Linked DNA regions of Drosophila melanogaster. The protein of the gene in region 4 interacts with the protein of the main gene of each other region in a pairwise test. Each region holds a gene or a part of one and is shown on either strand. Other genes may lie near its edges. The genes, in order: CG3225, HHEX, Mps1 and Pits.

Region 1 (5,404 bases), on a different chromosome or scaffold from region 4:
AGGTGGTGCTCATCACAGGAGGAGGCGGTGGTGTTGGACGTTTGATTGCCCTAAACTTTGCTCGCCTTCAGGCCCGCATTGTCATCTGGGATATAAATCAAGAAGGTAAAATCACACCTAGTTGCTAATGACGCCGTCACAGCTTCTGCCAGGCGGGTCAAAAAACCCGACGGCTAGTGAAAGCTGTTACATTTACAATTTGATTAGCTAAACAATATTTGATCATAATTTTCCGCACAGCCATAAAGACAACTGTGGATTTGTTGGCCAAACATGGTTATGACAACTGCAAGGGCTACGTTGTGGACATCTCAGATCGGGAGCAGATCTACCAGCGTGCCAGCCAGGTGACCGAGGAGGTTGGTCCCGTCGACATATTGATTAACAATGCCGGTATCGTGTGCTGCAAACCCTTCTGGGAGCTGCACGATCGGGTCATCCAGAACACGTACAACATTAACATCATATCGCACTACTGGACCGTGAAAGCGTTTCTGCCTCACATGATGCGCAATAATCGTGGTCATATCGTTACTGTGGGCTCGGTAACTGGAATGCTGGGCACCTACGGATGCAGTGACTACGCGGCCACCAAATACGCCTGCATCGGTTTCCACGAGAGTTTGCTCACCGATCTGAAGGCCCATGGCTATGATCAAATCCAAATGAGTTTGATCTGCCCGTACTACATCAACACGGGCATGTTTTCGGGTGTTCGGCCGCGGATGATGCCCATGCTGGAGCCGCAGTATGTGGCGGATCGCATCGAGAACGCCGTGCGCTGCAACGAGGTGTGGTGCGTGCTGCCCAACTCTATTCGCCTGCTCACTCCTCTCAAATGGTAAGTAGTCTATTTAACATAGTTATATACAATGTAATTAATGCTGGTTTTCTCAGTCTTTTGCCCGCCAAAATGTGCTGGGAGCTGATGTCGCGTGTCATCCGTGGACCCGAGTCTATGATGATGTTTCAGGGACGAGGGCGCGTCGCCGCTGGTTAAACACACAATAGGAATCATCATATGGAATCCATTACCTAAGCTTAAGTTCTTTTTCAAGAGGCGGCATCGTTTCACCTATAATTTTACAATAAACTTAGTTATTTGATTTAATGAACTATTTTAATAGACTTACACCTATCATTAAGGCTTTAGTTCCTGCTAATCCCGCACTGTGGTCTGTTGGTAATAATGCGGCGCCAGCTCCGTCAGCCACTCTCTCTTGATTACGGTCACGTAGTTCATGAACAATTTCGTCGTTTGGAGCAGTTCCCCATAGACCACGTACTGAGCTTGAGGAAGTGTGTAGAGAGTGGAGTTCGGATGAATGGCCAGTTCAGTGCCGCTGCTGATTTGTCTATAAACTCCAGAGTGATGCAGATAGGCCACCTGTGTGAAGAAGCCGGCGGTGATGCACTTGCACAACTTTTCCACATCGCCCTTGCACGAGAAGATTGGAATGCCGTACTTCTTTCTGGCCACTGTGATGAGTTGCTCCCTCAGCGAGTGGGCCCTCTTAAGATTCCTGTAGATGAGGAAGTATTGGCCACAGAACTCCTTGGTCATGCCCTCCTCCACGAAGCCAGTGTAAGCGTTCAACATCGTAATAAAGTCCCCTTCCGCAACTTCGAATTTTCGATGTGCAATGCGTCCACTTTGTTGGGCAACCGCTGAAGCTGGGCGCGAAAATATAGACTGCACCTGCAGCAACGCAATGATGGTTATGATCTCCTCGGAGCAGCCCATCTGACCGGAAACATAGAGCATTTTGGAGAGCATAGCGCTGAAGGGGAGTTCGGCCAACAGGTAACCCACGGGCTTCGTCAGATTGCCCTGCTCATCGATGGCGTCCAAGGCAAATAGACTCTCCAGTGCGGAAAGTAGATTCTGTGCCGGTGGTGGCGATGGGAAATCAAAGCGCAATATGTTCCCGATGCCCAGCGCCTTTAACTGCAAGATAGCGCCGCTCAATTCGCTGCGTCGCATTTCGGGTGGCTGCCGAGGAGCTAGTGCTTCATAGTCTGATTTAGTGTACAAACGATAGACCTTGCCGGGACGCATACGACCCGCTCGTCCTGCTCTCTGGATGGCCGACGCCTTGCTGACGGGCACTATAACCAAACTGTCACTGCAGGTTTTGGGATTGTACCATTTTACCTTGACGTAGCCGCAGTCTATCACATAAACAATGCCCGGAATGGTGATGGAGGTCTCTGCTATATTCGTGGCCAGCACCACTTTGCGGGTTCCTTTGGGCGGGGTAAAGAATACCGACAACTGATCAGTGCTCGACATACTACCATACATGGGCAGCACCTTGAGATTCTCCTGTTCCGAACTGGCGATGTATTCGCGCAGAAGATCCAGCGCCTCCAGGACTTCCTCCTGGCCAGTTAGGAAGGCCAAAATGTCGCCAGGCGGCTCCTTTTGATGCAGTTTCCAGACGGTCTCCACAGTTTCCTTCACATAATCGGCGCAGGGTTCGTTCAGATAGAAATTACTCACAGGATGCATGCGACCTTCAATGCTTAGCTTAACGCTCACTTCGCCCGATCCTGGCCAGCTGAAGAACTCGCTGAAGAAGCTTGCATCTATGGTGGCCGATGAAATGATGAGCTTGAGCGAGCTGCGTTTGCGAAGGATCTTCTTGAGCAGTCCCAAAATCATGTCGGTGAGCATATTCCGCTCGTGCGCCTCGTCCACGATGATAACACCATATTGGGTGAGCAGCGGATCGGCTAGGACTTCCCTCAGCAAGATGCCCTCGGTCATGAACTTGATTTTGGTACAGGAGCTCATGCTTTCCAGGAAGCGAACTACATAGCCCACCGTGTCACCTACCAGTTCGCCGCGTTCCTGTGCCACGCGATTAGCCAGCGTAACCTGGAAATGAAGTCTTTAGTTTTAGATTTTATAGTTGCTTTGCTTTAGGATTACTTACGGTGGAAACGCGTCGTGGTTCGGTGATGCCAATGAGTCCCTTGGTGTGCCAGCCCCATTCATACAAATACTGTGGCACCTGGGTGCTCTTGCCACTGGGAAATATGAAAAACCACAGAGTTAGAAGCATTACTTTGAAGCTCATGGAATTCCATACAAACCTGCCTGTTTCACCCACTAGTATGACCACTTGATGCTTTTCCAAGCAGTAAAGTATTTGATCCCGGTACTGACGAATGGGCAAACGTTCCCTCTGTAATAATTTAAGTTTAATTTGTTATTCTAGCAAATGTTTACGAAATATTTTGTAAGCCCACCTGCTCCATGAGTCCCATATTGTGATTGACATTGAATACAAAGGCGGAGGACTGCTGTTCACCACCGGCACTATCTGTGATTGCATCGTCCGTCTCGGGTTTTAGGAACTTTGGCTTAAAAGTGCTCATTTTCAATTATTTACTTCGTTATAGATTCAGTTTTGAAATTAAATAAACAGCTGATGGACTCAATGCATTGGTGCAAAATACCAAAGCGCGCAAAAGAATGTTAGGAATTTCGTTTAATATAAACTAATGGTCACACTTTTATTTGGCGGGAAATTGCATTGTATTGAAATTTCGATTAACGATAACCATCAACTATATAATAAGTTGAATTGCCCAAAAACCTAAGTATTTACTTAATCACTAAGTATACAGTCGCCTAGTTGAGGTCTATAAGAAAAGAGGATAATCAAATTTCACTATATTTTAGTTAAGATTTAAAAATGCAAAATATTAGTTTTTAGAAATTGTTTGGCTAGTACCTCAAGCTTATACCTTTGGTACCCACAAATTATAATATATTTGATTTAGTCGACCATTTCACGAGCCCCAATGGTGGCAAATGTCCATAACATTCACCTGTATTATTCATGCACATGTTTTTGTCCATTTTGCGGGCACGTTGCAGCACCGACATGTCCCCTATTGCTAGTGAAAATAACTCTAATTGCCAGTGGCAAGGCCACTTTGCTCCTCTGCATACCCAGCAAACTCATTATGTACTATAAGGTCGCCCTGGCCACGTGTGTGTGTCAAAAGTGTCCCCCGAGTTTTGTGCAGCTGTCGGCGACAGAAGCGCCCGGCCAATTGCTTTTGAATAAATATTGTATTGTATCTCTCGAGCAACAAAACACACACATTGTTTTGCCCGCTTGTATTTTTTTTTTTGTATATATTTTGATTTATGCACCGTCAGTGGGTATTATATGCATGCCGCCAATATTGGGACGAGTAAGATGGCCGTCGATTCCACACATGCAGGACCCCCGTATTCTGCATTGACCCTGACATTAAGAACGCTCGCTTTAACTTTAACCCCATCCGATGCGATCCGAACCCAACCACCAATTTCAAGCCAAAGCAAAACACGTGCCCGACATGCACGTTTGACCAACCACATCCGCATGCCAGTGCTGAAACAATGGAGCCCAGCTCCACTCCACTCCACTCGACCCGAGCCCAGCCCCCATGGCGTATGAGTAATCCGAGAAAAGCTAATTAAAGGCCAGCGGCGAACTTCATGCCAAGGACGAGGCGCCAAGTCGCCAAAGCCAAGCGAAAGCCAAAAACTCTGCGAGCAGTTTGTCAACACCGCCGTCCGCGGAAAGTGCTTCAACTAAAAGGCACTGAGAAAAAATGTTTTCACTTTCCACTCAAGCTGATATCAGCATCACAGGTAAAGAGGTATCTTCGCTACATGAGAAAGATTATAGTTTCGAAAAGTGTTAAGAACGATGCTTCAGTATTTAGTACTACATCTTAAATTGCAAATACTAAAATATAATAATTTCCGCTGTGCATATGGATTAGTCATTTCATTTGCCTTCTATCCCACTTAATAGTAGTTAAGTGAATATTTAGTTACATTGCGGGTTATGGGAGGCTGTCACATTTTCGCACAGTGTGTATCTTGTCCGTTTGGCGTCCAGTTCCAGTTTCGGTTGCATATAAATTTTAATAGATGCGCCCAAGGCCAGAGTTTTACTGTCAAACGGCTGTCGGCACTCCACTGCCGGTATCCAAATTCCGATTCCCCCGTCTTTGGGCACCTGACTAAATGCCACAAAACTTAAAGGGCGGCATGAATGCTAACTGTTATTCCGGCTTTTACGAGCAAAGTTTCCTTGGAAATGCCAGTGGAGGGTACGTTCCTTTTGTTCTATCTACGTATTATAACTATAGTTTCGCGTTGACGACCCTGATTACAAACGCCGGAGTTGTGCGTCCTCGACACCCAGCGAGTGGTGCGAAAAGGGGCTGGCGTCATTGTCTTTGCGTGCCGCGAATTTGCGTGATTCATGATGCATGTGGCAGGGCGGCAAAGTCGCAACTCAAATGCAGCACACACAAAGTGCACACGAAAAAAAATGGTGACGCTTAATTGGAAATTAATATGGAAAAGTAAGGTTATCTTCTGCTTACC
Region 2 (6,878 bases), on a different chromosome or scaffold from region 4:
TATCGAGCAGTAGGCCTCGTCAATGTCTCGAATTGGTCGCATTTAGTTATCGCATAGCACCGAAAAACGATTTTATTTTTATCACCATTCACCATTCATTATTAACTATTCATTATTATGTTATAATTTGTTTCTGTAAAGTACAAAATACTTTTTGAATGGTCATTACTTACCATTGAGAGCTTCCTTCTGACCAACCATCAGACCCCCGAATACTCTATTCGAACCATTCATGTTGATAAATTTGAATACTCACCTTGTGATATGTCACAAAATGGCCGTCAGTTGGGTTTTTCGGGTGCAAAACGTTATATCGATGGGATTTTGTCGGGGATCACACAACTGACTATCAGTTAGCAGAGCAACAAGTGTCTGCTCATGATGAAGCGTCGAAGTGATATGTCCGGGGATTACAAGTGCACTCGGTAGCATGTTGTATGGGCTTCCTTTCCTTCATATCTTGGAAAGCAGGCTTTGCATAAATTAGTTTCCTAAATGTTTTAATCTCTTTTTCAGTCAAGGTGCTTTCCATTAAGGTATATCAATTATTATGCGAACAGAAACATAAAATATAATATATGTATGATGTTCAAAGAGTTATTTTTAAAATTTTGATGTCATAAAATTTTAATCACCAATCGATTGACTGTAGTTTACTGCCCCTTTTCAACGAAGAACCCCCGAAAATTCTATTTGCAATTCATTAAATCACTTTTCAGCGAATCATATCAAAAGAAATAGGTTTATTGCCAAATATCACATGAATTTGAGTCATTGTCATATGTAGTGAAGTCATACAGTTTCGATTGAACTCCTGCCAATTTAAAGTAGTCACCATTTAGCAAAATCACAAAACTTGAAGAACTTTTAACTCTTTACTTTCTACTCATCGTGTGAACCGAAGACATGATAACATCCTTTCCACCAGCGGAAACTAAAGATTTTCATTGTTCCCGAAACTCGTCGAGGCCCAAAACTTATCTCGAAGGTACCAATTTCTGGGGCGACCTGAAAAACAACATCAAAGGGGTATCTATCAGTAACAATAACAACAATTAAAGGCATTTATGGGCTGTGCGTTTTCCATTTTATCACCCGGCCCAAGCCGAAATCAAAAGTAATCCATCATCTGAGAGGCTTTACGAGGAGCCCGAGTACAACTGATAAGACACCCCGAAACACCTATCCATGCCCCAGGTATACAGACGCATATATTGTTCCCAAAGAGCAGAGAGGGACGGCACCATGGCCGAAATCATAACACAAACTCGATTACTCAATCAAAGCGATGGCTCTCTGATGGTGTTGGTAGGGGGTAGGGTGGGGGGTGCCTTTTGGGGCAATTTTAATTTGTTTACAACAACAATCAACAGAGTAAAATAGCCAAACAGTAGCTGAGAGCTGAAACCAGGTAACGATACCGATAAGGGGTGATTAACAATTACTCGATCAAACGCACCGACCCGCCGAGTGGGAGGCGTTCTGGGGGAGGGTGGTTGGGTGGTTGGGTGGTGGGTTCGATGGGTTGGCAGCTCAATAAGCGGGCGAGCAGGGACTGTGATTTATACAACGATCGCCGATTGGGTGTCCAACCGCGTACCGATGTCGAGCTGTCGCCGCCTGCAATTGGAAATTGGAATATGGGTATTGGGTATTGGGAATAGGAATCGAGTGGAGTGGAGTGGAGTGCCATCGAGGCAGTGGAGCGCCTAACCAACCACCACTCGCTTATCAATCGATGGCCGGTAGCTCGGCACTATCTCCCATGCGCGGCATATCTACATACCGCTCTATTATTGTTAATATTGATATCTACCCATTAGCACAACATTATAGGTACAATCTATTATATTCTGTGAAATCAGATTTGGTACAATTTATAGCGCCCATGGGCTCTGCGACGGCTCCTACAGCTGGTGGCCATTAGTTCATCGCCTGCGGCCGACGCAGTCGCTTCGATCGCTCCGGACCCAATCAATCGGTATCTACAGTTCGTTACTACCGCTCTCAGAATCCACCAATATGGATATCGCCACCAAGTCCAGCAAGGCCGCCTTCTCCATTGAGAATATCTTGGAGCAGAAGAGCTCCTCGCATCGATCTCAATCGCGCAGAGGCTCCTCTCAAAGTCCCGTGGCGGTAACAGCAGGCATAGCTACTCCACACGCACTGGCCATGCCCAAGGCATCCTTGGCCACTGGATCATCCTCCGCGGCGCCTACACCCTCTCCATCGTCCGCCACCAACATCTACGATCTATCCCGCGAGGCAGCTGCCGCCCAGTATGCCATGAAGAGTATGGACTCCAGTGCTGTCCTGGCTCCCACTTCGCTGCGCTTCAATCCCATCTACCCGGATCCCGCCTCGCTCTTCTACCAGCAGGTGCTGCAGCTCCAGAAGAATCCCTCGCTCTTCATGCCCCACTTCCAGGCGGCCGCTGTTGCCGCCGCAGCCGCTGTTCAGCCAACAGCCTATTGTGATCAATACAGTCCATTTACCATGGACTGCGAAGGTGAGTACTTCAGAATACCTACTTAGTGGGGTTAACATGTATTTTAGTTGGGTGTTGAATGTCCTAAAAGATAAAGATTCATTTTCAAGATAATTGCTTAATTTTTGTGGTAATTTATGATAAATCATTCACTAAAATAAGGGTGCATGAGGAGAAGACATTACAAATTTATTATAAAGTTATGGTATTTCCACAGAGCTATAGAAAAGGTATAGAAATGAAATATTAAATTATATGCAATCTAATCTCAGCAAATTCAAAAGATTGTAAAGCAGTTATAAGGCCAAGAAGTATAGTATATTTATTCGACATTATGAATGAAGACAATACAGCATTTCTTTATTAAAAAAAATTCTAGAATAAGATCAAAATTATTCAATTATTCGAGCTGTATACATACATGCAAACGCAGTTGAAACCCTTAGGTCAAGTTATTGACAAGCTCATAAAATAATTGACTAATATATTAATTAATGCGGTTTTGAGAAATCTATTAGCCCAATGATGTCTATCAACAATTTAGTCGTTTGACCTCATTAGCATATTTCATCATACTATCAAATGACCGGAAATGAGTCACCTGAATATGAATGAATAAGCGCTACAATTATCAATTAAACACTAAAATGCAGATAAAGGCAGAAGCATTCTCAGAGTATGATATGTTAAATCCCTATTCTTAAATTCTTATTCATGAAGCTTGGAACCATAGTTTCTATTAGACTTTCTCACAGTTTTTAGCAAAGACTAGGATTGATTCGACACTACCAAGTTCAAGTCATTGAACCTACCCATGCTGACACCTTAATCTCGCTCATCAAGTTGACACATGGAAATTGATCGCCATGGGAAAGGTGTTGCCTGAAATCCCCATTTAAATACCAAATATCTAAGCTAGCCTAAGTCCGAAGTGCCCGGACCACCGAATATTACAATGGGGATCCCACACAAAATGGGCCATAAACATGATTAATGTGTGTGTGTTGTGGTGCAGTTGGGTATTTGTCAAAGTCAAGTGTTGGCGCCAATGCCACTCGAAATCACATTTTCCCCGCCCCAAAAACTGCATTTCCCGGTTGGTTTTCTGGGCGGTGGTGTAACGGTAGATTAGCCCTAGCAATGCTGATAAAGTCAAAGTCCCGAATTCCATCCCCTCGCAGTACAAATGCCCCATTCAGATCGGAAAATATTTCGGTGGCTTATCAGAAGTGACAAATATTTGAAATTCAGGTGAGAGACAGCAGAAACTATATCTATGGATATTTAAGTGACAGTTAGTTTTCATTGAAAGGCATTGAGCTGTTGATTTGGGAAAATCGAGCTGCTGCGAATTAGACGGACTGTGAGAAATCATACTCATTTAAACCTTTGGATAACACACAATTATCACAGGCAGTATCTTTCGATATAATTGTAGTGAAATAGGAAGGAATCAATACAACATTATAGTGGAATGGAATATCTAAGTGCACCTTTCTGTTCCCAATATGCCCGTCTTGAGGATATATCTATGATGAGTCCAACTGAGTTAGGATCATACTACGCCTCAAAAAAAAAAAAGGAGTATTGATTAGCTTGCTCTATGCCATACTGATCACACAATGCAGATAGGAGTATCGTCGTGTATAGGGCACTTCAACTGTACTGCTATCCCGATTTCCGATTTGTTTGGCTTATCTAAACAAAAATGCTATTAGAGGCGATTAATAGGCGCTGTCCATCATCTTATAGCCACGATTGCCATTTGATTACGATAAGCCCGTCCGTTCCCGACACTCGTTCCACCTGGACAAGGGGCAAATGGTTAGGGGCGGAGGCGGGTGTGGTGGTGTTGGCGACAAGTACCTGATATGATATTATTCCTTCAATCGGACACGCACATTATAAAATAATAACAAATCCAATTTTCAGCGATTAAATGCCGCTGGGAAGAAGATAAGGGTGCTCTGCGGCCTTATCACTCCCGAATACGCCACTTAATAAAAATAAACATGAATAAGTCTATTTGTAACGATTTAAATTATGGCATCTGCAATCGGATGTTATTTATTTAATGGCATTTGGCCATTTCCAAGGGTTCTTGGCCAGATCGCCTCACCAATGAGGTAACTGGGTCCCCAAATATCAGCTTAGTTCAGCGATGGAGCACACTCCAAATATGCGCCAAGTGCGAATTTCCGTTACCTTAACTAAAAAAAAAAAAAGAGGCCACCTTCCTTATCACATAGGTGTATGTACATAGGTGCAGATAGGTTCGCAATCGGATTGCCGTTCGGGTGCCAATTGATTTCGCCCAATTGCTACGAAATCTCGGCGTACAGTCGATCCATTTCGCAATGGCCACCATTCGCAAGTCGTCATCCAGTTACAAGTGGGCGTTGACATATTCTCCGATACTGATACAACACCCATACACTTGTACCACTCGCAATTGTTGTGTCCGATTACTTTGATAAGAGCGGGTGGGCGGAGATAGGGAAAACCGGGCCAATGGAGCCACCAATCACAATCCAATGATTGCGCCACTTTATATCGGGCAGATGGTTCAAAATCGTTATTCAAAGAAATCGATTGTCCTCGACTTTTTCATGGCAGCTTTTGATAAACTCTGAAGTGGGTCTATAATGTCATTAGTTCTTTAATTAAGATCGTATTAACAATGAAATATTTAGTTTAAATATTTCTCATCTGATATAGGAAACCCTTGTTCACAAAGTGAAGTGTTAACAATAAGTTAGTTCTGTAACCTCTTCAGCAATTGTAATCTAAAACAAACTGTCTTCCTTTTTAATCCATAGGATTCCCCAATCCTGCCTCCGCTGCAGCCGCCCTCTACTGCAATGCCTATCCGGCGGCCAGCTTCTACATGTCGAACTTCGGCGTGAAGCGAAAAGGCGGCCAGATCAGATTCACCTCCCAGCAGACCAAAAATCTCGAGGCTCGCTTCGCCAGCTCCAAGTACCTGTCGCCGGAGGAACGGCGTCATCTGGCCCTCCAACTCAAGCTGACCGACCGCCAGGTGAAGACCTGGTTTCAGAACCGGCGCGCCAAGTGGCGACGAGCCAATCTCAGCAAGCGCAGTGCATCCGCCCAAGGACCCATAGCAGGCGCTGCCGTGGGATCACCCTCCAGCGCCTCGAGCAGCAGTGTTCCCGTGTTGAATCTTGGCAGCGGAAGCAGGTGTGGCCAACAAAGCGACGAGGAGGATCGGATGTATCTGTCCGAGGACGATGAGGACGACGACGAAGACGAAGGCGAGGCGGATGAGACGCCCAAGTGAAGCTAGAGGATGGCCCATTGACTCATAAGTTAGTTTAGCTTGTAGTTAGGATAAATAAATTTATTTTATTAGAACTATAGTTATGCGAGTTAGTAAGTACTAGATGGGTGGTCTCCTAGTGGAACTGGTAGCTGTCCAAGCAGGCGCAATTGGGCAAGGTGCATCTTGGCGCCAGATTGGAGAGGTGACCCATGGTCACCGGAAAGGATAGCGGCACAAACCACTTGGGGTACGCACAAATGGCCGCTGCCGCCGCCGCTGATGCACTGCCTCCAAAGACCGGCGGCTTTAGCTCCACCACCGATTTGCTCTGGTACTGAAAGGTAAGATTTTGTATGTACTTAAATAAATATTTCATTAGGTACTTCCTACTTCCATGGACCACGCAAATCGTGACTTGATTGAATTCTGGAAGCGGAAATACAGACCGTTGAACTTAAGTAAAAACACAAAACACCTGTTACAGATTTGCTGTATACTATAGAATATAATACTATAGAAATAACCGGTATATTCACTTAAGTACACTTATAACTAAAAGGTACTTTATACAATTTGCACTATGCAGTTAGGTCGCTTACCTGATCTGTTATCACGGGCCTAAAGGCGCTGCTCCTGGGCGGCGCGGGCTGTGGCATAGTGGTCAACATGCCCGGCTCCTGGCTGGGCAACTGGTTGCTGGTGACATCCACTGGCGAGGACTTGCCAGTGGGCGAGACATTCTCAATGGCCCGAATCAGATCGAGATCGCAGCGCTTGAGGACCAACTCCAGGACAGATCGCTTACGCTGCGGAAAGAGCTGGGCAAGCATGTCAATGGCCGTTTGGGAGACGTTATCTCTTCGGGGAGCACTGAGATCCTGCGCCACCGCCGGCGATTCGCTGTACTCCTCCTCCCTCTGCTTCAAATGCTGCTGCTCCACCTCCGAAATGGTCTTCTCCACCTGATCATCCTCCCGCTTGGCACGCGGCGAACTAGGCTGCGTGACGGTCAGACCGAAGATGTTGCCTGGCGGCAGTGCATCGATGGAACGACCCGTCTTGTTGGCCACCAGCCGCATGGCAATCGCATCCTCCACCGCCTGC
Region 3 (5,550 bases), on a different chromosome or scaffold from region 4:
TGTTTGCATAATACAATTTAATGGTCATAGTCCTTGATTGCGGATTTATAATTCGTTCTCTGTATTTACAATTGAATATTACATTTTTTGCATTTTTGCAATTGATCTACTTGAAGAATATTTCTTCGCCATGAACAAAGTATAAACGAATAAAAAGAGAACATCCAGTAAAATTATGATACGTAAAATTATATAGTTATTTGATTTGTCTTTAAGGAATTTGTGGTGCCCTCACTGGTCGCACGTTGGTCTGCATTTGATGCAGTTTCTGGTTGAGCTTGTGTGTATGGTCACGCAGATAGGCGATAAGGTCGGCCTGCTTCTCCAGAAGCTCTTCTGTGTCGCCTCCTGGTTGCATGAGGCCCAGGGAACCGCCGGCGCGGTCCGCACCACGCAAAACATCCGGAGCCAGCTTGGCGCTGTTGAACTTACGCACCTTGTCTGAAATGGGTAACGAATTTTTAGCCATGTCTATGACAACTTTTATACCTGAAATTACTTGGTTCTTAATCAAAAATCTTTCGCTTTGGAACCATAAGAAAGAACGAACTTAATTAGTGGCTGTACTGAATCACTTCAATTTTAAATACCTGGATTATTTAAGCGGCTCTGACTCATTTTTTGCGTATTACAATTGCTTGCAAGTCACTTAATCAGTTTAAAAAAAATACCTAGCCATCCCGACTACTATATTATGTCATTATATAAACTATTTGAATAAAATGTTGCCCATCGTCATTTCAATATATATACACACAGATATATTAAAAAAATGATGATAGCTCGATCTGTCATAAAATAAAATAAAAATAAAAGTCATACCATGACACTAAGTAGATTCCCTCACTATCGCTGACTAGATACTATGTTACTTCATTACCAATATATAAGCTGTGGGAAACGGCCAGCACCAGATTCTCGGCCACGGTGAAGGCGGTCACATAGCTGACCGGCGACAGCCACCCGGCGGCGCAATGTTCCCAAAAGTTCTCCGCATAGAAGTGGTGGATTAGGGCCTGGACAGCAAGCAGCATGGAGTTCCACAGGGATACCAGCTGAAGGGGAATCCCCTTCTGCATGTTAGTCTCGCGGTGAAAGTCGTGATAGCCCTGCATGCGTAGATTGTCGTGTTGCTTCTTTACGAAGTGATCGAAGAGCTGTAAAAACCGTTGACATTGAGGCAGGTCGGGATTGACAGACTGCTGATTGGTATATTTACATATGTGATGACCCAGAAGGTGGCCCGTAGGTAGAGCATTATAAAGTATGCATCGCAGCGCCGATCGGTTGGAAACGAGGCTGCAAGTACGATCCCCACAATGGAGATTGCAGTGGAGATAACCAGATGAAGGCTACGGGTGGACAGAGAATGGATTAAATTATGTGCATTATCGGTCGTTTGAAAGCTCCATGGATGATTCACTGCCGCCGGCTGAGGTCTCTCCCCCGTACACCGCATAAAATCTCACCTAAATGCGGGCACTGTATTTAGCTTGTAGCTTCCATTGTCGTTGGAGAAGAGGACGGGGTCCAGGAGCTGATCCGTGTCGTGGATGTGCGCTGGGGACACGCCCGGTTGGACAGCGGCGCCTCCAGTTGCTGGTTGCTCCATTTGCTCTGCTCTAGAATGCGTAGTTTTCGAACTATTGCTGCTTTGTTTATTTGTCGGCAGGAAAACAACACTTATTTTCCTTGGATGTGGCAGCACTGCCAAAATATTGCTTTTTTCAGGGTGGCAGCTCTGTGATGACCATGAAAAACAAGACAACCCTAAAATGTAAACAATAAACTTACTGTTAGAATTTGAATATCTAATTTATTTATTTAAGCCATTCTTACTTTTAAATCATTTTGATGTATTTTATACATCACTCTCCCTCACTCAAAGAGTGTGCTTTTATATTTGCTTGTTGTCAACACTAAATTATAATTTAGGTAGTTTTCAATATTTCTTAATTTAAAATATTAAACATTTATTTAAATCCTCATTTTCGTTTAATTATTTTAAAACTTAGCCTTCGGCTACTTAAGTTTTATTAACTATTAAAGGCTTCATTCAGCGCGCTTTGGATGTTTTAAATTTTGAACTTTGGTCACACTTGAATAAAAAATAAATTTAAACCCCGCATTTGATTTGCAATTGGATATTTAACTATTTGTCGGGCAGAATAAATCGGGTTGCAAGATGACCACGCCTGTGCCCCGCCGCACCAAGGACATGATGGCACTGGGACTGGACTCCGACTCCGAGGACGACTTTAACACGCCATACCGACCACGACAAGCGGCGGCGGGAGAACGAAAACAGCAGCCGGTGGCGTCTTTCCAAGTCCAAACGAGGGGCAAGGAGAACGAACCGCATCCCCTGCCCATAAATATGCTGTAAGAACTGGGACAGCAATGTCCAGTATCGCATGACATCTCCTGTTCTCCATACATAAGTCCTCCTGAGTCTGCAAGGATCTAATTTTCCATGAATTCTTTCAGGAATCCTAGATCTTTTCTTTCCAAATTGGTCTGTCCATCGAAACTAACCTGTATCTTCTAGGCTTAGTATATACCCTAAAAGTTAATCTATATTAACCCACAAGTCGAGGGATTTTTGTTACAAGATCACCTAGAAATGTTCATTACTTCTACATACAACGTTTTTATCGATTCTAGACCTCGCCGAGTGTCCGAGTTGACTATGATGGATTCGGACAGTGACGAGGAGGACATCAAGAGCAATCACAACCTTAACTGCGCCATCCTAAACGATTCCTTTGTGCTGAGCCCATCCCAAGAGTTAACAAACAGCAACAGCAACATAACCACTCGTAGAACACCAAGTGCCGCCCCCCTTAAGCAATCCGATTCGAATCTCTCGTTCCTGGGAAGATTCAACGACATGGGCATCAATTGCAGCAGTCAAGGATCCCCTGTTGCGAATTCGGAAAAACAGGTGGCCAAAAAGACAGCACCCACGCTTCAAGCTGCACCAAGTGCCACCGAAAGGCGCCCACTCCAAGAGACAGAGACGCCACTGCGTAATGAATTACCCTCCACCTCGAAGACGAAGCCGGATGCAGACTTCATTACCCCCCAAGTACGAACAATTGGTTCCACACTGGCGGGAAAAAGTCGGAGTGCGGTGTCCAATGACTTCCGTGCGCAGAAAGTGCTCTTCCAAACACCTATGACCGTGAGTCGTGCTGCTCCAGTGGCCTCCGATAGCATAAGCTTCTCCCTGTGCGACACCATCACAGAAAGCCCGGACATTCCGGAGCCTCCGAAAAAGGCAGAACCACCAAAGAGTCAGCATCCTTCCAAAAAGTCCCTAGATCATGTTTTCCGGGAGTCGGACAAGGATAACGTGCCAGACAAAGTGGATAATGTGGAACCAAAGGAGCTGGTATCGATTCCCGCAGTTGCTGTACCTCCAGAGCAGCCTTCCCACAAGACATCTAATATTTTAAAAATCAAGAATCATGAGTATACGATTGATAAGAAACTGGGCTGTGGCGGCTCCAGCTCTGTTTTTTTGGCACGCCGATCGGATTCCGGAAATGAGTTCGCCCTGAAGGTGGTGGATCTGCAGGCCGATCCACAAGTGGTGCAGGGATATCTAAACGAAACCAAACTTCTGGCAAAGCTACAAGGGAACGTTTGTGTTGTGGCACTTTACGATTAGTAAATATTTCTAAATACTGACTTCTTGTTAACGTCACTGTTTAAGTACTTTTTTTTCCTTAGTCAACTTGTGCGCGAGGAGTCCAAGCTGTACATGGTGATGGAGAAAGGTGACTGCGACTTGAACAAGATCCTGCAGAGCTACACCACCAACCTTCCTCTCTATAGCCTGATGAACATCCTGTACCAAATGCTGCAAGCGGTCAACTACATTCACCAACACGGTGTCATCCATTCGGATCTCAAGCCGGCAAATTTCCTGATGGTCAGCGGCAGACTGAAGTTGATCGATTTTGGCATAGCCAGCAATATCGCTGTGGACTCGACGAGCATCATCAAATTCTCGCAGGCGGGCACCTTTAACTACATTAGTCCGGAGGCGTTGACGGACACCTCCACGGGGAATAGCCCGATGCGCAGAGCCGATCAGCCGAAGATCAAGATCTCGACCAAATCGGACGTGTGGTCGCTGGGCTGCATCCTTTACCTGCTACTCTACCAAAAGACACCGTTCGGCCACATCCGAAACGTCTATGCCAAGATGAGTGCAATCACCACACCGGGCACCAGCATCGAGTATCCTGCCATTCCGCCCTACTATCCCATCATGCTGGTTCATGTGAGTGTTGCGCAATATGAGGCTTTTAGACTAACATAAGCTAACTAAAATTATAAATAAATTGAATCCAAGTTTACAACTGTCTCTGCTCTATTTGCAGATGGCCAAGAACTGCCTACAGTTGAATCCCAAAAAGCGGCCGTCGTGCACCGAACTACTACAGTACCCATTCCATATGATCATTCCGCTGCAGAACCTGCAGATACCCAGCAGAACCGCCAACAGCAATTAAGCACGAAAGCTCAGCTATTTATTAGTGAAATGTCAAAGGTCAAATGTCTTTCTCATATGTGTGTGTATATATTTAATTCTCATTTTATCGTAAATTAAACATCATAAATCCTTATAATGCTGTTATAGCTCGTTCTTTTGTTTGTTGTGGTTGCTGATGGGCTTGAATTTGTTGGTTTTCCTAATTTTTCAGTATGTCGCATGCAACAGGTTCCGACAATAGATTGCTAGTTAGCATTCGTGTTTAATTTGCGTTTACTTATAAGATAGGTTCTCATTCAGTTTTATATAAAAATAGTTGTTTTCTTGTTTATTTACGCTTAATTAAATGTTGCTGCTGCCATTTGCTCTTCCTGGGATTAAATACTTTGCGCTGCCTGGCGGCGGAAAATTAAAAGTTAACACAAAAACAGAAAACATGAATGGAAAACATACAAAATTCACAATGGCCCAAGTACAAGAGCATACGTACATTCATACTATTATTTTGTTTATTTTTTTGTGGATTTGCATTTTAAGTAGCTGGGTTTTAAATTCATTTGCTTAACATAAGATACATATACAATTGTTTAAAGCGCGTTTTTAAATGCAAGTGTAACACAAAAATAATAATCGCATGCAAAGTATGTGTTAAATAATAATTAGAAAGTAGCAGCAGCAATGGATTTTTCGCGGTTTTTCCGGGTTGGTTTGCTTTTTATTGGGAGGGCTTGGGTGGAAATTGCCTGTTTCTGTAATCAGAGTCGGACTTTTCCTTTGCTAGCATTTCTTCTCTTCTCGTTTAACATTGCACAAGTTTCGATTGTTATCATTATCTTGCTTTAGTTATGTGTATATAATTTCTTAAAGCGTTCCATAGTTCTTCATTCTCATAATTGTTGGTTCTCGCTACTATAAAATGTTAAATGTTGCTGTTGTGGGGCATGCTTTAGGTTTACTTTTTTCTCGCCTTTTTTTTTTGTTACATTAACTTTAAACTTAATAGATTGTTAGAGTTGTTTCTTTTTTACTGTTGCTGTTCTTTTGGA
Region 4 (5,363 bases):
GTATTCCATGTTAGTGCTTAAATCTAATTTATTATTTATCGATTCTCGACCCATTCACCCCGTCCCCTCATTCCAAGAACAATAATTAACAATGCTAAGAAACAAACTTTTTTGTATTGACGAGAATAAGTCTAACTCCTATAACTAAATATATAAGAATGTTTTTGCTCAAAGGCAATTTTAGTTGTAATTGATACGAACAGACATACAAACACACACACACGCTAACTGTTATACAAATGAAACGCACACGCTCAAGCCTAATACTGTTATACTGTGTACTTTATATAGCCATTATATACCTAAACCTATATACATATAGGATCGAAACGCTTGCAATTAACTGCTTACATAAGACATTTGAGTCGGGCCCTTGTTATACGGACGTATGCCAGTAGAACAGTGGCCGCGCCGAACCGATCTAGCATTTAACTATCTATATACAACAAATATGTGCGATATTTTTTATATGCAGCTAATTTAATGTGTTGTATTTTGACCCCACACCACCTTGTAACTACGTTTATACGCCTGCTTTTCGAAAATTGAGTAACGCTTATAGAATTTTCGATTCAATTCTTTATGCCTTTTAACAGTTGAACATATATAATCAGTATAGCAACATTTTCTACCCACTTGTAAATAAGTTTATAACTAATGCAGTTTTTGTTGCCTACTTATTCGGGAGTCGAAAGGTCTGTAATTACAAATAAAGCTTGTGTATAAACGTAGTTCGTAGATTCTCTTTTGATTTTAATCTTAAAACATTTTTTGTTAATAAAAGAGGAAATTAAAAAAAAACTTTTAAACTTTCTAGTGTCTTTATTGTGGAATTTTAATTTTGTGGCAATTTAAAGAATATTTTTATATCTTTAATTGAGCCAAACATTTCATAAATAAAATCTCAAATGAAATGTTAAGAAGCGAGTACAGTTGCGCGTGCACGGACATAAACTTATGGCCGGGACTGTATGGAAAGGTGGGGGTGTAAGGAAAGGACCCCGTTTACGAGGTCGTTGCTTGTTCGTGTGTTTCTGTATCTGGTGGCTCCTTTTTCCGCATTTCCTTTTAACAGGATGTACGCACAGATACGGAATTTGTCCCAGACCATGGTCGGGAAATCGATTCAGGCCAAACGCCAGGAATACGAACACCCAAGCATTTTCGCCTATACATATGTACATATATGCAACGATATGCATACACATACATGCTTGCAGTTTGTGGTCCTGCGCAGTGCTTTACGGATGTCCTTGTTTTTTTTTTTTTTTTTGCTAGGAATGAGGGCTTTTAATTTCATTAACAGTTACAGAGCTCTGTTAAGTCAGCTGTTCGCCGAGCGAAAGAGACGGAGCATACCAGATTCAAGGTCTACATAACTGTATCCTATGTACATACGTTCGGTATCTATACGAAAAACGGATGTGTATCCACGAACTTTACATGGTATACTTACAGGCGGACTTTGGGGGAAGGACTTCGTCACTAGATTCCGTTTCGTGAATATGACGTGCAGGCACGTACGCTGGCAGGGTCGTAGCCCCAAAGGGGGTTAAAAATAAAAATAAATATTATTTTTAATTACTTAAACAGCCAAAAGGGTTTATTTTTAATATTTGGGCGTAATATTAGGAGCAATATATTAAAAGCTATATATATTAATACGAAATAGTAGAATTACTATGCTCAAAATGATGCTAAATTTTAAAGAAAATTTAAAATTTCCTTAGCTTTATCATGGTTGAAGTCTTCGCTACAGTCTCAGCCACTTTGGCAACCCTGGTTGAAGTCCACTGAAAGGTTCGTGTCTCTGATATAAGCCAGTATTTCAGGTATTTTCTTGGTATTTCCCATTGCGGCAGCGAAGATTTTTTAGTACATTTCGCTTGGCCCCTGGGGTATATTCTCACATACCAGCCAAGGCCACACTCTATCAGCAAGCTGTGTGGCGTCCGGTCGCTTTTTCAGTCATTCGTTGCGTCGCTGCGATCTCATCGTTCGTTTTGTTCCTACACGTTTTTGGCGTCGTCGTACATTTACGTGTCCCGCTTACTCGCGCGCACCCTCTCTCTTTCACTCTGCGGCGCGCGTGCCTAAGTGTGGTGTGTGGTGTGTGTGCCTGTGTGCGTGCGTGTTGGCGAGCAGCGCGGCGCAGCACAATAGAAAAGAAGAAGAAGAAGAAGCTGAAGCTGAAGGAAAAAACATAAGTGAATTTTTTTCGGGTGGAAGCGCGGTGAAATATGCGTGCGTGCGCGCGTGTATATGTGCGTGTGTGCGAAAATCAATACGAAAACATGAATAACAAATGCTAAATAAGAAAAATAGCTACAACGCACAACCGAAAAGAAGCTGAAACAAGAAAAAAGAAAGCGAAAAAAAAGGAGAAAATAATAAATAATAGGAATTGGGAATCCAGCAGGAAGGAACAGTTAGCCATTCCAGTGAGCTAAAACAGCACAAACCCATTTCCAGATCCAGCCCATCCAGGGCTTCCAATTGACAGTTGCCAATTGACAGTTGACAGTTGCTAGTTGCCAGTTGACAGTTTCCAGAAACGCAGCAGGATGTCGCTGCAAACGAAAAGGCAGCACTGCTATCTGTGCGATTTACCCCGCATGCCCTGGGCGATGATCAATGACTTCTCGGAGGCGGTGTGCCGCGGTTGCGTCAACTATGAGGGCGCCGATCGCATCGAGGCGGTGCTGGACGCCGCCCGCCAAATGAAGCGTCTCCATCCCGCCAGCAAACAGCAGCGTTCCCATGAGAACGGCGAAGTGTCCGCCGCTGCAGCGGCCGCCGTCGTCCTACAGCAGCAACAACAGTTACAAGTCGGTCCAGTTCCGGGACAAGGACCGGGTTCCCATCGCGGCGGAGGTGGCGGCGGTCCACCGGGTGCTCCGCCCGGAAGTGGTGGTCCAGGTCCGTCGGGCGCCGGTTCGCTCAGTTCGCTGGGCAATGCCGTTGCTGCTGCCGCCGCCGCTGCTGCAGTGCATCATCACCATCAGATGCCCTATCAAATGCCAGTGCCACGCATCGGTCCGCCACTGGACTATCCCGTTAAGCTGGAGGATGCCCCCGGTGGCGGCGTACGACCCGTACGCATTTCACACATGACGCCCCACCACCTGCCGCCAAATGCGACCCGCGGCGGTGGCGGTGCACCCGGCGGCGGCGTACCCACCGCCGGCAGTGGCGGTGGCAGCCTACCGCCCGCCCTATCCGTGAATTTAAAGCGTCCGCCCAGCGAGGATGTCGATGTGGATGTAAGCCAGCAGCAACAGCAGTCGGGACACGGCCTGGCGCCAGATGGCAGTGCTGGCAACTCCCTATCCGCCGGCGGAGGCGTATCCGGCGGTTGTCCGCCCGGCATCAAGCGCAGCGCCATGGACGATCCAAGTGGCGTGGGCGGCAGACCGCCATTGACGCGTGGCGAATCCCTGCCAGCGGCGGTCAGCTATGTGCCCGAGCGTCAGCTTAGCGGACTCCGTGATAAGCAGCAGCCGGTCAGAGCGCCCAGTTTCGATGCATCGACCTTCAAAGCAGGTGAGCAAACATGACATAGATCATTCAAAATACTTGGCACAGTGGTTACCCAATAGAAAGAACTTTGCTGCAGCAAGTAATGGGAAAATTTTTCATTTGCAGTAGGGATTCGGGAAAAGCAGGAGTAGTTTCAACTACCTTGAAAACTACCTTTCATAATAATTAGAGTAAAGTGATCAGAGTCTCAAAAGTGCCGCGTTGATAAATATTTGGCTTTATAAATGATAGTACAAAACACTATCTATCGTGGTGGAAAACAGATTTGGGATAATCCCCTATCAGTGATGGATTTCTTATCACTTATAGCGATCGGATCGAATCGCCAGTGGGAAATACGCGATATGGATTAAAAAATGGAGTGACCAGGGGGATGTTGTTTCCCAGCCACAGTGAACACTTGATATCTTCTAAAGTATATTTTATCAAAATATTTCAAATACAAAACTCTTCGAGGGGTGATATTTCAGTTTGCTTTGATAGCCAATGTCAAACAAAAATAAAAACTTGTTTAAACAAACAAGTGAGTTAGAGGAAATTTTTTTTTGCTAATTTCAATCTAAGATTTGCTGGATAAAATTAAACACTATTTTATCCTCCGGAAACATAGGAAATTTGCTTAAATCCTAAGTTTGAAAAAGTTGGCGGCCACTGTATTTGTTTACCGTTTCTTACCAATCCCCCGCCTTTTTTTTTTTAATATGAGCCGTGATCGCGGGATACAGAGCACTGTTTCTGCCTCGCTCTAGCCTGGATGTGGGTGGAAGGTCGTGGTGGGGGAGTGGGAGGAAGAGAGGCGGCGATATAGTGGCACACATACCGCTTATTCAGGGCAGAGTGAAACGGCGTGATTGCCTGCTCCTTATCTCTCCTTACTGGAAGGCGAGCTAGAAGAAGACTGCGCTTCTCATGTATATGCACGTACACATTTACGTTTGCATGGATGATAAGGAGCGTTGTGTTGGAGATTAGATAACTCATTTGCTTATCAGCGCGTCCTTATCGCCACCCAATGCGTATGTATAACTCACACATACACGCATACGTGCACATGCATGCATGTACATTCAAACAGAAAAAGAAGCGTATAAACGCATTTTGCAACCCTCTGTGGAAAAAAGGGGCTGCTAACCCTTGCCATTAAAAGGCATGCGCACATGCCAATATACATATAGGGAATATACATGTGCATGTACCGCGCAGACACACACGCGCACACAACTACGTGTTCGTTTACATGCACGTACGTAACAGTCGCAATGGCAATAACAAAAAACGGCGAGAAAAAAAAGCGCAAAAAGCACACGAAAAAAGGGCCGCAGAATGTAATATAAACAGAGACGTGCAAAAATCGTCGACGCTGACGTTGTAATGTTCTCGCTCTCTATCTCTTTCTCCCTCCGTCTTCTGTCGCTTTTCTCTTCTTTCCAAACTGGTTTCGTGCGCTGGTGTTGGTGTGTGTACCTTTTGTTTTTTGTGTTTTTTCTTTCTTGTCTGCGCGCGCAAAACGTCATTAAACTTGTTTTGGTTTTCGCTGCTGCTTCTTCTGCTGTTTCTCCGTTTTACGCTATGCGATAACAAGTTGCACACACACACACATACGCACACAGTCGAACCTGGGTGTAGATAAATTTTAGTTGGTATACGAATTACGGAACGAGCTGCAGTGACAACAACAAAAAGAGACACTAAAGACAAGATGAAAAAAAAACTTTTTCGCTCATACCGATGCCGTCATCAAACAGTGGGGCAAACAAAGCTTAACTTAATAAGAAAAAGAACTATTATCTTAAGATTCCATTATTTCTATCCCTTGGCTTGTT

The links.
Region 1: the proteins of Pits (region 4) and CG3225 interact in a two-hybrid assay, tested with the Drosophila melanogaster proteins (one large-scale study listed by BioGRID).
Region 2: the proteins of Pits (region 4) and HHEX interact in a two-hybrid assay, tested with the Drosophila melanogaster proteins (one large-scale study listed by BioGRID).
Region 3: the proteins of Pits (region 4) and Mps1 interact in a two-hybrid assay, tested with the Drosophila melanogaster proteins (one large-scale study listed by BioGRID).

What each region holds. Positions count from the first base shown.
Region 1 is NT_033779.5:4,814,783-4,820,186, forward strand, and holds CG3225 (uncharacterized protein), read right to left. Parts: upstream 3,464-5,404; 5' UTR 3,385-3,463; coding exon 3,256-3,384; intron 3,192-3,255; coding exon 3,100-3,191; exon of another isoform or gene 3,034-3,099; coding exon 2,940-3,033; intron 2,882-2,939; coding exon 1,160-2,881; 3' UTR 1,134-1,159; intron 1,110-1,133; exon of another isoform or gene 1,076-1,109; 3' UTR 1,001-1,075; coding exon of another isoform or gene 898-1,000; 3' UTR 842-897; downstream 1-841. Other genes in the region: CG15629 (uncharacterized protein), read left to right, coding at 1-105, 241-841, 898-1,000.
Region 2 is NT_033777.3:21,075,828-21,082,705, reverse strand, and holds HHEX (hematopoietically expressed homeobox), read left to right. Parts: upstream 1-1,779; 5' UTR 1,780-2,022; coding exon 2,023-2,512; intron 2,513-5,310; coding exon 5,311-5,792; 3' UTR 5,793-5,844; downstream 5,845-6,878. Other genes in the region: dmrt93B (doublesex-Mab related 93B), read right to left, coding at 5,908-6,108, 6,374-6,878.
Region 3 is NT_033777.3:17,669,186-17,674,735, forward strand, and holds Mps1 (monopolar spindle 1), read left to right. Parts: upstream 1-2,085; 5' UTR 2,086-2,185; coding exon 2,186-2,382; intron 2,383-2,664; coding exon 2,665-3,672; intron 3,673-3,735; coding exon 3,736-4,291; intron 4,292-4,363; coding exon 4,364-4,621; 3' UTR 4,622-4,643; downstream 4,644-5,550. Other genes in the region: CG7523 (uncharacterized protein), read right to left, coding at 212-441, 881-1,157, 1,220-1,352, 1,470-1,612.
Region 4 is NC_004354.4:12,579,752-12,585,114, reverse strand, and holds the start of Pits (protein interacting with Ttk69 and Sin3A), read left to right. Parts: upstream 1-1,921; 5' UTR 1,922-2,564; coding exon 2,565-3,543; intron 3,544-5,363.